Linked DNA regions of Canis lupus familiaris. The protein of the gene in region 1 purifies or fractionates together with the protein of each later gene. This does not show direct contact. Links are inferred from orthologs where the notes say so. Each region holds a gene or a part of one and is shown on either strand. Other genes may lie near its edges.

Evidence for each region.
Region 2: the proteins of MED4 (region 1) and CCDC138 purify together in Homo sapiens (affinity purification with mass spectrometry; 3 studies listed by BioGRID and IntAct, with this or other methods). This does not show direct contact. The link is inferred for Canis lupus familiaris from reciprocal best matches to the Homo sapiens genes MED4 and CCDC138.

What each region holds. Positions count from the first base shown.
Region 1 is NC_049243.1:3,360,620-3,368,478, forward strand, and holds the start of MED4 (mediator of RNA polymerase II transcription subunit 4), read left to right. Parts: upstream 1-2,663; 5' UTR 2,664-2,691; coding exon 2,692-2,816; intron 2,817-5,288; coding exon 5,289-5,355; intron 5,356-7,859. UniProt on the Homo sapiens protein: Component of the Mediator complex, a coactivator involved in the regulated transcription of nearly all RNA polymerase II-dependent genes.
Region 2 is NC_049231.1:36,137,655-36,145,387, forward strand, and holds the start of CCDC138 (coiled-coil domain-containing protein 138), read right to left. Parts: upstream 4,557-7,733; 5' UTR 4,484-4,556; coding exon 4,391-4,483; intron 4,154-4,390; exon of another isoform or gene 4,124-4,153; coding exon of another isoform or gene 4,031-4,123; intron 2,990-4,030; coding exon 2,932-2,989; intron 1-2,931. Other genes in the region: E3 SUMO-protein ligase RanBP2, read right to left, coding at 7,570-7,733.

The sequences.
Region 1 (7,859 bases):
TTCGTGAACTATTAAATAAAGTTCATAAAAAATAAAAATAAAAAAATTAAGAGAGAAGACAGGATAAATAACCAGTGGCTAAGAGCACAGACCTTGGAGCCAGACTCTGTTCAGATCCCAGCTTTGGCGCTTATCAGCTGTATGATTTGGGGCAAGTCTCTGAATTCCTCTGCCTCCTCAGCTTCGTTATCTGTAACATAGAGATAATAACAATACTCACCTCCAGAAGGTGTTGTGAAAATTCATGGAGTTCATTTTTTTTAAGTGCTTAGACCAGTGTCTGGCATGTTAAATACGTAAAATTTCACAAGAAGGAAGTACTTACCCTTTTGAATCGATAGATTGGGAAACTACTAAATTCGGAGTTACCTTGAGTTATTTATTAACTATTAAAAATATATATGATATTCCTATCAGTTATAAAATAATTCGTATTTTCTTTATCACACCAGAATCTGCAGTTTGCCATAGAGTATGCCTGTAGGAAATGTTATTTCTTGTCAGTCTATGGACAACGTTCAATACGCATATGACTTTGTGATGAATCTGAAGAGGTCTGGCATTCACAAGACACATATACTGTCCATCTACTAACCCTCCATGCCTGCAAAGTAGGACCTATAATTGGTCATTTTTAAGTGATTAGGGTTTTAACTGATTGTATGTGGAAGCTACACTAATAGGATCTCCCCACTCCCTGCACCAGAATCATGCCCAAGATGAACCTATGAGAAGAAAACCAACACAGACTACAGTTGAGCCCCTCAGAAACTTAAGAAATCACTGACCAGAGCTGCTGGCAGGTATGCTTGGAATACAAGGGTCATTAGGAAGCTTAAATCTAATGTATTCCATTGTCTGAGAATGGACCATATTTAGAGAAGGGTTTAGCCAAGAGCAGAAGTAGGGAATGGTTGGAAAACAAAAGGTGTCCTCAGGTCTCTTGCATGGTCTGGGGACACAGATATTCCAATCTCTTTACTACAAACATCCGTATGCTATGTGGATACAAATCCTGATGGTTAAAAAAAAAAAAAAAAAAAATCCTGATGGTTGCATTTTTTTTTTAAAAATCTATATTCATTTGTTATAATCCAGGTTTACCAAGCCACATTCTGATGATAATTGGTCTTCCTGTATAAGTTTGTCCACAAGGAAAATTGTGCTTGGCACTAATATTTTTTATTGTAAATGAATAAATCAGCATTCTGGATTGTATAGCAGTTGCTATGAATGGTTTTGTTTTGTTTTCGCATGAGTCCCTGAGGAAATCCTCAAGTCTGGGTACCCAGCAGGAAGCAGGCTAAGCACCTCCAAGAGAACAGGCCAGAGGTCAGGATGACAGAATGAAGGAGACACTCCAAGCTGTTGTCTGTAGGTGACATCTCTCCATCTCATCTTTGAAAATCACAGCTTGGCCCCATACAGAACCCGCATCCCCAGTACTGTTGCAACTTTGGGTTTTCCTGATAGGGAGAGTTTCCAACTACATTGCTCTCTCCAGGAAAAGTGAGTTGAGGCGGAGTTTGGGCTTTCATTTGGAATCTGTGTTGTATTGATTATTTAAACCATTTTCATACACTACCTCTTACCTGCTATATTTACTCATTCACTTCCAACAGGCATCTTGATCAGTGAGCAAAACACTTTGTTGGGAGATAGATGGTTATAAAGATGGATTGTGAAGCCGTAGAAGCAACCCCAATGTGTGCGGATGAATGAATGGATAAGCACAATGCGATGGCTATACGTTAGGGAATATTGTCCGGCCTTAAAAAGGAGGGAAATTCTGACACGTGCTAACACAGGGATGGGAGTGGAGACATTACACTAAGTCAAATGACACAGTCCCCAAAAGACGAATATTGTATGATTTCATTTATATGAGGTCCCTAGAGTAGTCAAAATTTGGAGACAGAGGGTAGAACGGTGGCTGTCAGGGGCTGGGGCAGGAAGGAAGGGGGACTTGTTGTTCAGTGGACACAGTCCCAGTTCTGCAAGATGGAAAGAGGTAATGGATGATGGTGAAAGTAGCATAACCACATGACTATGCTTAAGGCCCCTGACCCTACACTTAGCCATGGTTAACACGGTCCGTTTTAGGTTATGTGTGTTTTACAACCATAAAGAAAAAGAGGCAGATGATGGCTCTTGTCCTATGGTGCTTACAACCCCTAGGAGAGGCCAAACAGGAGGGTGGGGCTAGCACTGTAGGGATGCACACTAAAGACGGTTAATACTGAGACCAGCCCATCTCACAAAGAAACTGATAGAAGGGGGCATCTGGGGAGCTCAGCGGTGGAGCACCTGCCTCCGGCCCAGGTCGTGACCCCGGGTCACGGGTTCGAGTCCCACATCGGGCTCCCTGCAGGCAGCCTGCTTCTCCCTCTGTAAATAAAATCCTAAAAAAAGAAAAAAGAAACTGATACAAGATGTAAGTTGTTATGCAAATTTCCCGACAGGCTTAAAACCCCTCCCATTGGTGCTTGAGCCCTGAGCGCCCCGAGCCTGCTCCCAGGGCTGCACAGCGCCGCCGCCCGCAGTGCACCGCCAGGCACGTAGGGGGCGCTGCGGCCCCGCCTCTGCTCCGCGCCCCCCCCGCCCCGCCTCGGTGGCCCTCACTTCCGCTTCCGGAGCCCGCCTCCGCGCGCCGGGGTCTGCGCAGTCTCCGGCTTCCGGCCCGCGAGCAGCATGGCGGCGGCCTCGGGTGGGGAGAAGGAGAAGGAGCGGCCGGGGGGCGGCGCGGGCGCGGCGGGCGGGAACAGCACGCGGGAGCGGCTGCTGTCTGCGCTGGAGGACCTGGAGGTCTTGTCGAGGTAGGGGCGTCGGGCGGGCGGCCTGGCTGGAGTCGGGGAGGCGGCGCTCCGGAGACCGCGGCGGGGTCGTGGCCTCGAGGTCGCAGCCCCACGAGACCCGGACGCGGCCTCTTCCCCCCGCACAGCCCCCGGGGGACGCTTGATAGCGGCGGTGACCCCGGGACCCTGACACTGGGAGATGGGGGGAGGGGGGACCTGGGGGGGCGCTCGGTGACCTGCAGGGACACCCGGGACCTGACACTGGGAGATGGGGGAGGGGGGACGTGGGGGGGCGCTCGGTACCTGCAGGGACACTCCGGGACCTGACACTCGGTGATGGGGGAGGGGGGACCTGGGGGAGCGCTCAGTGACCTGCAGGGACACCCCGGGACCCCGGCACTGGGAGATGGGGGGAGGGGGGACCTGGGAGGGCGCTCGGTACCTGCAGGGACACCCGGGACCTGACACTCGGAGATGGGGGGACTGGGGATCTGGGGGGGCGCTCGGTACCTGCAGGGACACTCCGGGACCTGACACTCGGTGATGGGGGAGGGGGGACCTGGGGGGCGCTCGGTGACCTGCAGGGACACCCCGGACCCCGGCACTCAGAGATAGCTGTCACCTATTTCCATGACTGTGTCCCAGCGGCTAGGACCTAGTCAAAGCAGATGCCATCCTTTGTCTACAGAAGCCACTTAACTTGATTTCCATTCTACTCCTCTTAAAATCCATTTTCCAGGTAGCTTAGCAATTGCTTAAAAACATAAATCAGGTCATGTCATTTCCATTTAAAATGATGCATCAGTGGGGCGCCTGGGTTGCTCAGTCAGTGGGGCGTCCACCTTGGGCTCAGGTGGGTGCAGGGTCCTGGATTGAGCCCTGAATCCGCTCCTTCCTCTGCCTCCCCCTCCTTCATTTTTTTTTTCTCTCTCAAAATAAAAAAATCTTTTTAAAAAAGTTAAAATGATCCAGTCGCTTTCCATTGTACCTGGAATGAAATGCTGATTCTTTACCATGACCTGTGAGGCCCTCACACAGCCTGGCCCGCCTGCCCTCCAGACCCGTCCTCATTGTGTATCCTGCTCCTCGGTACTGACTGCTGTGTCCTGGCCACCCTTCCTCAAACCCATCTTTGGGCCCCTGAACCCGGCTTTTCTCACTTATAGAAGCCCTCCCTGACTCCACCAGTGTGAGTGGCCAGACAACTCACTGACACACTCTAACACTGCTTCAGTTTCTTCCCAGCCCTTCTTCTAACTCTGGTTTGATTTACCTGCTTTCTTGGTTTTTCTCTTCTGTATTATAATTTAAATTCCTTTGTTCACTTTCATAAGCTAGGCATCCAGAAAGTGCCTGGCACACAGTGGAAACTTAAATGTTTAATCAGTGGGTGAATGAAGACTTTCCATTGCCATATCCACTTTATTCATTAATTAGCTAGCTAGTGCATGCATAATGGTATGAGAACCTCAAAGTGGGGAAGGTTGGGTCCAGTTGGCACCATCCAGAAAAATAGTTTGAGGCTGGCAGTAAGGAAGATGGAAATATGAAGGTGAAAATAGTCTGGCGGCCAGTGAGAAGGTACAGGCTTTACTGGGGCTGACTGGTGGTGTCCTGTTGCTAATTGTGCATCTGTACCTCTTGCATAATTTCTGGAGTCCCATCTGTCAGCAAGTTTGAAACTAGTGTATCAGGATATTACCTGATACATATTTTATACTCCTCTTTATACTAGTTTTCATAAAGGAAAATTGGCATGTCTAGTAAATAAGCATTCCAGAAAGATAGGACTTTATTATACATTAGAATCCCTTAGTTGATACCTGTTTGGTTAATTAAAAATTTCAGTTCACATAGAAAATCATTTAAAAAATGATTCATCTACTCCTTAATTTAGGGGGTTTTCTTGCATAAACCACCCATAATGCCTTGTCCACCAATTTCTAGTGTGTTTCGTTAAAGTGAAATGAGGGGTGCCTGACTGGCTCAGGCAGTAGAGTATGCGACTTGATCTATGGGTTGTGAATTTGAGCCCCACCTTGGGCATAGAGATTACTTTAAAAAAAAAAAAAGTAAATAAACTTAAATGCTTATCAAGCAGTCTTAGGGTAGACTTGCTGAATTTTCATGACTTTGCAGTTCTTTGCAGGCAGCTGTTGAGTCTTTCCCAAGTATTCAGTTTAGGTTTTTATGGAAATTACTCTTTTCTGTTGACAGTCATATTTCGTTGGTATTTATGAAATGGATATTTAATATATTTAACTATACTAGTAAAGTAAAACTTGCATAACTGGATCTGGTAACAGACATAACTGAGTCTTGGTGAGAGAGTACCGCTTAGCTGATGAGAGCCCAAGCGCACGGTCACTGGGCAGGGGCTCTGAATACTCAGCATGCTGTGGGTGCCATGAATCTAGCAAGTCAGTTAGGTAGAGATCAGTTAATAAAGCTTCTGTTGTATTTTGCAAAGATGTTTTTGTTTTTCTTTTTTAGAGAACTTATAGAAATGCTGGCAATTTCAAGAAACCAAAAGTTGTTGCCGCCTGATGAGGAAAACCAGGTAAGTGGTTTCTTTTTATATTACAAACAAGAAATCCCCATTATTTGTGCAATTTCCCTATTTACATTTACTTTGTGTGAGAACAGGAAGATTGGATTCTGTTAAATTATAGATTACAATTTTTAAATTGATACTTCGAATCACTTACATAGGGTAACACTGCTTGAGAAGAAAAAAGTCTAAAGGTTTAGCAGTATTGTTTTTTCTTCTAGTTACACATTTATTCGTTTTTGTCTTTTGAATTAACCAACTAATAAACTTGTTAAATGGAGGTTAAAACAATATTTGAAATAAAAAAAGTTAATGCTGTCATAAACTACCTTTTATTATATAGACCTGGTTCCCCTAATGCAACTTGAGAAGTAATAGAAATTAAAGAGCATACAACTGTTAACAGAAGTTATTTTGTGGAGGTTAAATTTACATGTTTTTATTTTCTTTATTCCTTTCTGTGCTTTGTAATTTTCTACGGTGAGCAGATTTTTTTTTCTGATCCAAAACCTTTTTTAAATTAATTAATTTGTATTATTTATTTACTCATGAGAGACACAGGCAGAGGGAGAAGTAGGTCCTCTGTGGGGAGCCCGATGTGGGACTCGATCCCAGGACCCCGGGATCACAGCCTGAGCTGAAGGCAGACACTCAGCCACTAAGCCACCCAGGAATGATCCAAAAACTTTTTAAAGTTAAGAGGGCAAATGTCATTTTATGTGTTTTCTACTGTAATTTAAAAAAAAAAAAAAAAAGTTTTTTTAAAAGAAAACAGCTGGGAAAGATTAACCTTTTTAGTAACAGGAGACATCTCATAGATCTCTTCTCCCTCCTCTCTGCCCTATTATTATCTTAGTTTTATTTTATGATATGTTTTGAGGGCAGAGAAATTCAATTGACTGATAATAGAGAAGTATCATAAAACTTGTTTTCTTCAACGATTAATCCCTTCAGGTGGAGACGGGGAATTAGATACGCTACAAGTAGTAAAAGCTGGGACTTTGGGGGAGATTAAAGTTGTTTTTAGTATGTTGTTTGTTTTTAGGAAAAGCTTATAGAGAAAAATGCTAATAGAGGAATGCCAGTCTCAGATACTTTATTGATAAATACATGTAAAATTAAGTAAGTACTTACTACAAAATGAAATACAGGTTTTGACTTTACTTCCCAGGCACACAGATTATTCAATAGGTCATAACCAAGACCTGCCTGGTCAGCACTAACTTTTCTTATACTTTTTAAGGACTAGCAGTTCTGTCCCTAAAAAATAACAGTACCTTGTCACATAAAGTTGTTGTGAGGATTTACGATACTGCATGTTAAGTACAAATAAGGAGAGCTCAGTAATGGATAATTGTCATCGTCACTACCCAGGGAAAGAATTAAACTTTATACTTAGTGTTGTGAATTCCTGTATAATTTTCAACGAAAGTACTAAATATTAGTTTGGATGTGCCCATATGAAAATTTATTTTTGGAAATTGCTCTTTTTTAAACCATCTTCATCATAAAACAATAGTATGCATGACATCACAGGTCTAATATGAGTTATGTATTTTCTTGAACATAATAGCAAAAATGTGCAACTGTAAAAGTTTTTTTAAGTATCAGACATTTATCATAATAGTATTTCTGCAGTCAGCTTAACTCTGAGACAGCCATAATGAAGCATTTACTTAATTATATTGTCAAGTTTCCTTATATAGTTTAATATTTTACTCATTTATTTGCTATATTTATTTATTTATTATATTATTATTATTATTTATTTTATAGTTGATTATATACAATTTTGTGACTTTAAAAAATGTACATTTTGTCATGTCTTTGCATCGTGTTTAGCACTTCAGGCTTTTAAATTTTTTTCTACTCTTATTGAGATAACAGTAGAAATATAACATCGCATTAGTTTAAGATATGCGACAATGATTTGATACATGTATGTATTGTGAAATGATTATCACAGTAAGTTTAGTTAATTTACGTTACCTCACATACTTAAAATTTTTTTTTCTTAAGAACTTTTAAGAAGATGTCAGGGAAACTGTGGCACCTTTTCATGTACCTGTTGGTGATTTGGGTGCCTTTGGAAAAATTTCTATTCTGTTTCTCTGTACATTTTTAAGAACTTTCTTAAAGTTGCTAAAATTTACTGTCTTAGCAACTTTCAAATATACAATGCAGTATTGTTAACTGTACTCACCATTTCTGTACATTACATTTCCGGAACTTATCTTATAGCTGGAAGTTTGTACCTTTTGATCATCTTCACCCATTTTGCCCTGGCAACCACCAATCTGATTTGTTATTCTTTGAATTTGGCTCTTGTAGATTCCACATGTAAGTGAGATCATGCAGTATTTGCCTTTCTCTGTCTGACTTATTTGACCTAATATAATGGCCTGAGGGTTCATCCATGTTGTCACAAATGACAAGATTTCATTCTTTTTTATGGCTGAATAATATTTCTGTGTGTGTGTGTGTGTGTGTATATACATTCCACATTTTCTACT
Region 2 (7,733 bases), on another chromosome or scaffold:
ATCAAGACAGTGTGGTACTGGCACAAAAACAGACACATAGATCAGTGGAACAGAATAGAAACCCAGAAGTGGACCCTGAACTTTATGGTCAACTAATATTCGATAAAGGAGGAAAGACTATCCATTGGAAGAAAGACAGTCTCTTCAATAAATGGTGCTGGGAAAATTGGACATCCACATGCAGAAGAATGAAACTAGACCACTCTCTTTCACCATACACAAAGATAAACTCAAAATGGATGAAAGATCTAAATGTGAGACAAGATTCCATCAAAATCGTAGAGAAGAACACACGTAGAGAAGAACACAGGCAACACCCTTTTTGAACTCGGCCACAGTAACTTCTTGCAAGATACATCCACGAAGGCAAAAGAAACAAAAGCAAAAATGAACTACTGAGACTTCATCAAGATAAGAAGCTTTTGCACAGCAAAAGAAACCGTCAACAAAACTCAAAGACAACCTACAAAATGGGAGAAGATATTTGCAAATGACATATCAGATAAAGGGCTAGTTTCCAAGATCTATAAAGAACTTATTCAACTCAACACCAAAGAAACAAACAATCCAATCATGAAATGGGCAAAAGACATGAAGAGGAATCTCACAGAGGAAGACATAGACATGGCCAACATGCATATGAGAAAATGCTCTGCATCACTTGCCATCAGGGAAATACAAATCAAAACCACAATGAGATACCACCTCACACCGGTGAGAATGGGGAAAATTAACAAGGCAGGAAACAACAAATGTTGGAGGGGATGCAGGAGAAAAGGGAACCCTCTTACACTGTTGGTGGGAATGTGAACTGGTGCAGCCACTCTGGAAAACTGTGTGGAGGTTCCTTAAAGAGTTAAAAATAGACCTGCCCTACGACCCAGCAATTGCACTGCTGGGGATTTACCCCAAAGATACAGATGCAATGAAACGCCGGGACACCTGCACCCCGATGTTTATAGCAGCAATGGCCACGATAGCCAAACTGTGGAAGGAGCCTCGGTGTCCAACGAAAGATGAATGGATAAAGAAGATGTGGTTTATGTATACAATGGAATATTACTCAGCTATTAGAAGTGACAAATACCCACCATTTGCTTCAACGTGGATGGAACTGGAGGGTATTATGCTGAGTGAAGTAAGTCAGTCGGAGAAGGACAAACATTATATGTTCTCATTCATTTGGGGAATATAAATAATAGTGAAAGGGAATATAAGGGAAGGGAGAAGAAATGTGTGGGAAATATCAGAAAGGGAGACAGAACGTAAAGACTGCTAACTCTGGGAAACAAACTAGGGGTGGTAGAAGGGGAGGAGGGCGGGGGGTGGGAGTGAATGGGTGACGGGCACTGGGGGTTATTCTGTATGTTAGTAAATTGAACACCAATAAAAAATAAATTTAAAAAAATTTCTCTTAACCTTGCAGGAGCTGGCTCCTATGTATTCTTCAACTTAATAGTTTTCTGTGGGCCATTCAGTTGTTTGATTCTGATTTTGAACCCTCTGCCTATGTCATTTTATAAACATGGATTGTTTGCTATTTTATCAAAAAAAATTTTTTTCTGGAATTATCTGACTTTTTTAAAATTAATTTCATAGGTAGATTTACTGATTCATCAGTTGCATATAACACCCAGGGCTCACGACATCAAGTGCCCTCCTTAATGCCCACCACCGAGTTATCCTATCCCCTACCTACCTACCCTCCAGCAACCCTCAAGTTTGTTTCCTAGAGTTAAGAATCTCTTACGGTTTGACTCCCTCTCAATTTCATCTTATTTTATTTTTCATTCCCTTCCCCTATGTTCGTTCATATGTTTTGTTTCTTAAATTCCACCTATAAGTGAAATCATATGGTATGTCTTTCTCTAACTCATTTATTTCACTGAGCAGCTCTAGTTCTATCCATGTCACTGAAATGTATGCACCTTTTGTCTAACATGCTTTTTCCCATCAGAAATTAAACAAGCTATACTTTTTAGTTATAGTTTAGAATGTTGGAAATTTTAGGACAAATTTCAAAACTAAGATACAATTTAAAAAATGTTTTAAGGGATCCCTGGGTGGCGCAGCGGTTTGGCGCCTGCCTTTGGCCCAGGGCACGATCCTGGAGACCCGGGATCGAATCCCCCACATCGGGCTCCCGGTGCATGGAGCCTGCTTCTCCCTCTGCCTATGTCTCTGCCTCTCTCTTTCTCTCTCTCTCTCTCTCTCTCTGTGACTATCATAAATAAATAAAAGTTAAAAAAAATTTTAAAAATGTTTTAAGATACTAAACTCAGTAATAACTGGGTTTGTTCATACTGAAGGAATGTTTCAGAAGAGTGTTTACAAAATTTCAAAGAGAAATAAACTTGGAAAAAAATGAAATTCCCTAATCTACCATCTCATAAACTTACTGTTTCTGCTGCAATGACCTCAAAATTCAATGATAATACTTACTAGTAAAAACATCACTGAAGAAGTATCAACAAATCAAAAGACTAAAGGTTAATTAGCTATATATGTTAGTTCCAGATTACCATATAATGTTCCAACCGACCCCATTTCACAGTATAATTCTCTTTATCAAGTACATTTGAAAAATTCTTCTGGTGCAACAATTACTACCCCTGTAACTTGGAAAAGTTTGTGCCTTAAAAAAATAGCAATTAGTTTTCTTTCCCCAATATACTGTTTAATTTTTAACATTTTTAAAGGCAAAAATACTGTAACTGAAACACCAAAAAAATTCACTCAATTTGATTTTAGAGATATCATACCTTTACCCCCCCAAATCTTGATGACTATTAGTTCATTACCTGAATGAAAAAAGCCTAGTATCACAAGATATCTGGCACTTAGTGTTAAGCCTAAACATTTTTTTTAATGTTTTTTCTCAAATTAAATTTGTTAAAACCCCCAAATACACAAAATACTCGATCAGCTTACCTGGAGAGATTAGCGATCTTCTCTTCCACCTAGCCTGATCAAAATTTGAAAAATCATACTAAAAAAAATCAAAAAAGACATTTAATTTATATATTAAGAATCAACCTACAATCTCAAAAGAGTTCCCCACAAATTATGTATTAAGTACAAGAATTAATTACAAAAATTAGCATGGACAAATCTAATAGATACTATCTTAATCAAGCGGTCAAAGTTAGTATCACCAATAACAGGACATAGAAATGTTATACCTCCTAGTGAACAAGAGAAACCTACACATCACTCCTGCCAAAAACGCACAAAGTCAGTATCTATGTACAATCCTGAGGTATACGCATCCGAGAAAATCTGACGGAGGGACAGTCCCATATACAGTTGTCCTGTAGTCTTCAAAAATACATCATAAAGACAGAGACTTAGGGACGCCTGGGGGCTCAGCGGTTGAGCGTCCGCCTTCCGCGCAGGGCATGATCCTGGGGTCCCGGGATCGAGTCCCACATGGGGCTCCCTGCATGGAGCCTGCTTCTCCCTCTGCCTGTGTCTCTGCCTCTCCCCTCTCTGTCTCTCATGAATACATAAATAAAATCTCAAAAAAATAAAGACAGAGACTTAGAACCTGAGCCAGAACAAAGGCAACAGGAGAGAACCAAATACAGATGGACTCTATCTGCACCGGGGAAACAAAGTTTACAAAGGACATCAATGAGATAATCGGAAATCTGAATATTAACTCTATGTTAAATATTACTGTGCAAATGGTCAGTTTGTTCAGTTTATTGCTATGGATATGTGAGAATCACCCTATTCCCAGAAAATACACTTAAGAATTTCCATGCGGGGGTGAGGGTGCACAGCGCCTGCAAGTCCCCTCCATCAGTTCAGGGGGAATGTGTGCACGCCACGTCAGAGACGGGAAGAGAAGTAACGCAGATGCGGCAAAGTATGAACGACTGATGAGCCCAAACCAAGGGTTCGGAAGACTTGTTGACAGGATCCTTGCAGCTTAAAGTTGGTAATTACCTCAAAATAGGAAGGTTTTTGGAGGAGTTAAAATTGCTTTTTGAACTCCGCACAAGTCACTGTAATACAAGGGGCCTACCACCACGTCCGGGGCGTCCCACGCCTTCCAGGGTCTGTGCTGGGTGAAGGGCTTTTTCTGACGGAAAATCCGCTTCTCCAGGGTGCGGAGCATGCGCTGCCCCTCCGGCTACCGTTCCTGACCCTGCTGGGGCGGAGCGGAGGGCGGCCCCAGGCTCGGGGCTGTGGCGGAGGGGGAGCGGCGGCCCCAGGGGTCCCATCCCTCCCGGCCCCGGGCTCCGGGCTCCGGTCTCCGGGCTCCGGGCTCCGGGCTCCGGGCTCCGGGCCCCGGGCGCAGCCGCCGGCCGGCCTGCTTGCTTTACCCCTGCACAAACCAGCCCGCGGGCCCGGGGACAGCCCGAGGGGAAGGGCGAGACCTCACCTCGGCCAGGCGGCTGCCCCCTAGTCCGTAGCGGCTTTTGAGTCGCTCCACCACCAAATCCTGCCCGGGGGGCTTCACCAGCCTCGGCTCCATAGCGAGCGGACGCCGCCGTTGTCACCCCGGGAGCAGCGTTCAAACACGGCGGCGGGACGCGCAGGGGCGGAGCTCGCGTCACGGACCTGCGACACGACGCAGCACGCCCCGCCCCCCCGCCTCGGGTGGAGAGCGCCCCGGAGCGCCAGGGGCACCGGGCGGGGGGGCGGGGGGAGCGACCCCAGGAGCGCCGGCACCGCCAGGGCCCAGACCAGGCAGCGAGGCCCTCCGTCTCACCCTCTACGCAGTGTTCAAAACGTCCTCTTCTGACAAGTGTTCTTCCTGCTGAAGGATTTAGTAACTAATTTCTCTACGACTGCGTTCTTTGGACTGATAAACGGCGTCTCACCTTTTGTCTTAAAAAGATTCTACTTCAGTTTTCCTCGGTCATGTCCACAGCAATCGCACCTCTGCAGGTGGCCCCTCTGGGAGGCGCTGGCGGCCTCAGCATCCCGACCCCGCGGGCCGCCGCCGCTTCCCGTCCCCCGTGCGCCCCGCGAGCGTGCAGGAATGAACGTGCACACGCGGTGGTCACCAGCACCGTGCACACCTGACTGCCGGCGACTCCCTCTTCCTCGAACCTAACACATTTAGGGTGCGTTCGGGCATACAAGAACACACCTCATGAATCGGGATGGCCTTTGCTAACTAGAGGCAGAAATCAAGGACGTCTTGTACTCAAAGCACAGAATTCTCAGAGGATGACTCCCTCACTTTCCCTGCCATTGGTCTGGGATTAAAAAGCAGTAGTAGAATGTAAGCTCCCCGTACGAATGTAGTGAACTTAAGAACGAGCATGTACTTTCTTTTTTGAACAGTTTTTCCCAGTACTTAAGAACAATGCCAGGCATTTAGTAGGTGGCTCAATATTTATTGGAACGGTCTATCAACCTAAATCCTTTATCAAACCAAGACTAACTGAAAGGAATAACTGAATCCACTTCATTAATTTATACAATTACATTAGCACGATCCTTTACCTTTCTAAATTATGAGTTCAACGTGTCTGGACTAACAAATCCTAGATTCTCTGGATTATCTTTCAAGTTCTTCAAATGCCAAAGTTTTAGAATATCATGAAGTTATCTGAAAATTATTTTTACCAATATTCTTTCCCATCGAATATTACATGTACAAATACTTTTTTATGCTCTATTTTAAGCAGATTTTTATTGAGACACTATGAAGTTGAGCCAGTTGGGGCAAAAAGTACTTGTCATTGTGGATTTATACTGCATAAGGATCAAATAACAGAGAGAAATCACAAAGTCCTTTCCTGAAATGTCTTTTGTCATTAACGTCCCAAGCCATCTTTTAAGCACCTTGGAATACTAACACTGGAAAACAGTTTACATGTCATTGAATAAAATTTTTGGTTCAAGCATTAGCTTTTAAAGCTCTTTTAATTCATAGTCTTAATGCTTTAGGATAGCATAGAAGATAGTGTAAACTCATTTGTCTAAAAAATATGTAAAGCATAATTCCCTTACTTGGAATTTATTCTAAAATCATGACAAAGCCATCAGCTGTCCCAGCTGAAAAACTATAACACACTATATCAATTTATATTACATAGGTCTCCAAAGAAGCCAATTCTTAATATTAAATGTACACACATGTAGTCCAAGGTTCAGGTAATTTCAAATGGTACACTGCAATAGGTTTATCTGCCTTTGTGGCCAAGTGGGTTCAGTGAGTGTTCCACCACTCATTACTCACACACACCACACATGACATCCTTCTCCTCCTCCGTCGGGTGGTTAAACAGGTATCATATGATAACTGATTTCCAAATCCCCAAACAACAGAATAAACCCCACCATCTTTCACTAAACAAAATGAGATGATTTCACTGGGAAGAACACAGGAGGGTAGAAGGCAGTCATTTTTGGTAATCAGAATACACAATATTTTGTGCTCTAGATTCTTTGTAGGTCTATATTGAGTAGGCTGATTGATATGAGAATACCTCCCCCTCCTGCCCCACCACCTTTTCAGCAGTTTGCCTAACTTTGACAGTAGCCATTTCCAAATAAATCTTCAGTGTGTATGTATCAAATTTGAAGTCACTTTTTTGGGAGCTTTGGAAATTATGTAGCAGTCTGATTTACAGAATTTTTATTGTTCTCCTTACTTTGGCTCTAGAATGAACAAACAACTAGATGCACAAGTAATAAATTTTTTAAATGTCATGGCTGTTAACAATTGTCACTTTATTTTTGCTACAAAATTCACCAGAAAAAGGTACTGCAACAATCTAGTATAAAGCAAATCTTTAACCAAAGAACATGGTATAGACCTTTTTAAAATAGTCATACTTTATCACAATAACTGCAAGGAAAAATTCAAGTTCTATCAGAACCAAGCTGCAGTTTGAGGTAGTAGAAACAGATGACAGAAAAGTTAAAAAACAAAACAAAAAAACTAAGGAAATACTTGTTTAAAATGTAAAAATTAATTTAATACCTCTGAAAGGGCACAGGAACTACAGATCATTTTAAGAAAAGAAGGTATTCTACTTAAAAGTTAATTTAACTATACAGGAGGTTCAAGGATTATAGAAGAGCACTTTGGTTAAGTCTCTACCCTCTGTGGCTCTACCCATTCATAAGTGAGTCTCTATGCATAAATGAGCACACCAATAGTTAATATTACCAAATATATTTCAAATCTAAAATAAAAATTATCCAAGTTGTGGTCCCTTTATTCAAATGGTAAGTTTATCCATGCAGGAAGTCCAATACCTTAAAAGGTAAAATTAAATTGCATATATCATATTCCTTCAAGAGTTTGAGAAGGTCTATTGCTTTTAACAAGATTAGTATTATTCCATTTTAACAGAGATATGTCAGGAGTACATAAACACAAGTACACCTGATTTACACCAGTGTTTAAACTTTTATTTCACACCATGCAAGGTCAATTATAACACATTAAAAAGTGACAACAGCTATAAGCTGCAATTTTACATTTATACATTGGAAACGTCCATTTTCAAAAGCTGAACATAATTACCATATTGTCACAACAGCTAAGCTCAATTCAACTGTTTATACAGATTAAATTTACTATGAAAAACAATGATTTTATATCTGTCCACATTCTGTGATACTAATTCTTCGACTAACAGACCCTTTAGGAGAGCCAAATGATTCAATCTTTTTCACAGTATCCATGCCATCCTTAACAAACCCAAATACTACATGCTTAAAGTCCAAATGCTCTGCTTTTTTCAATGTTATAAAAAACT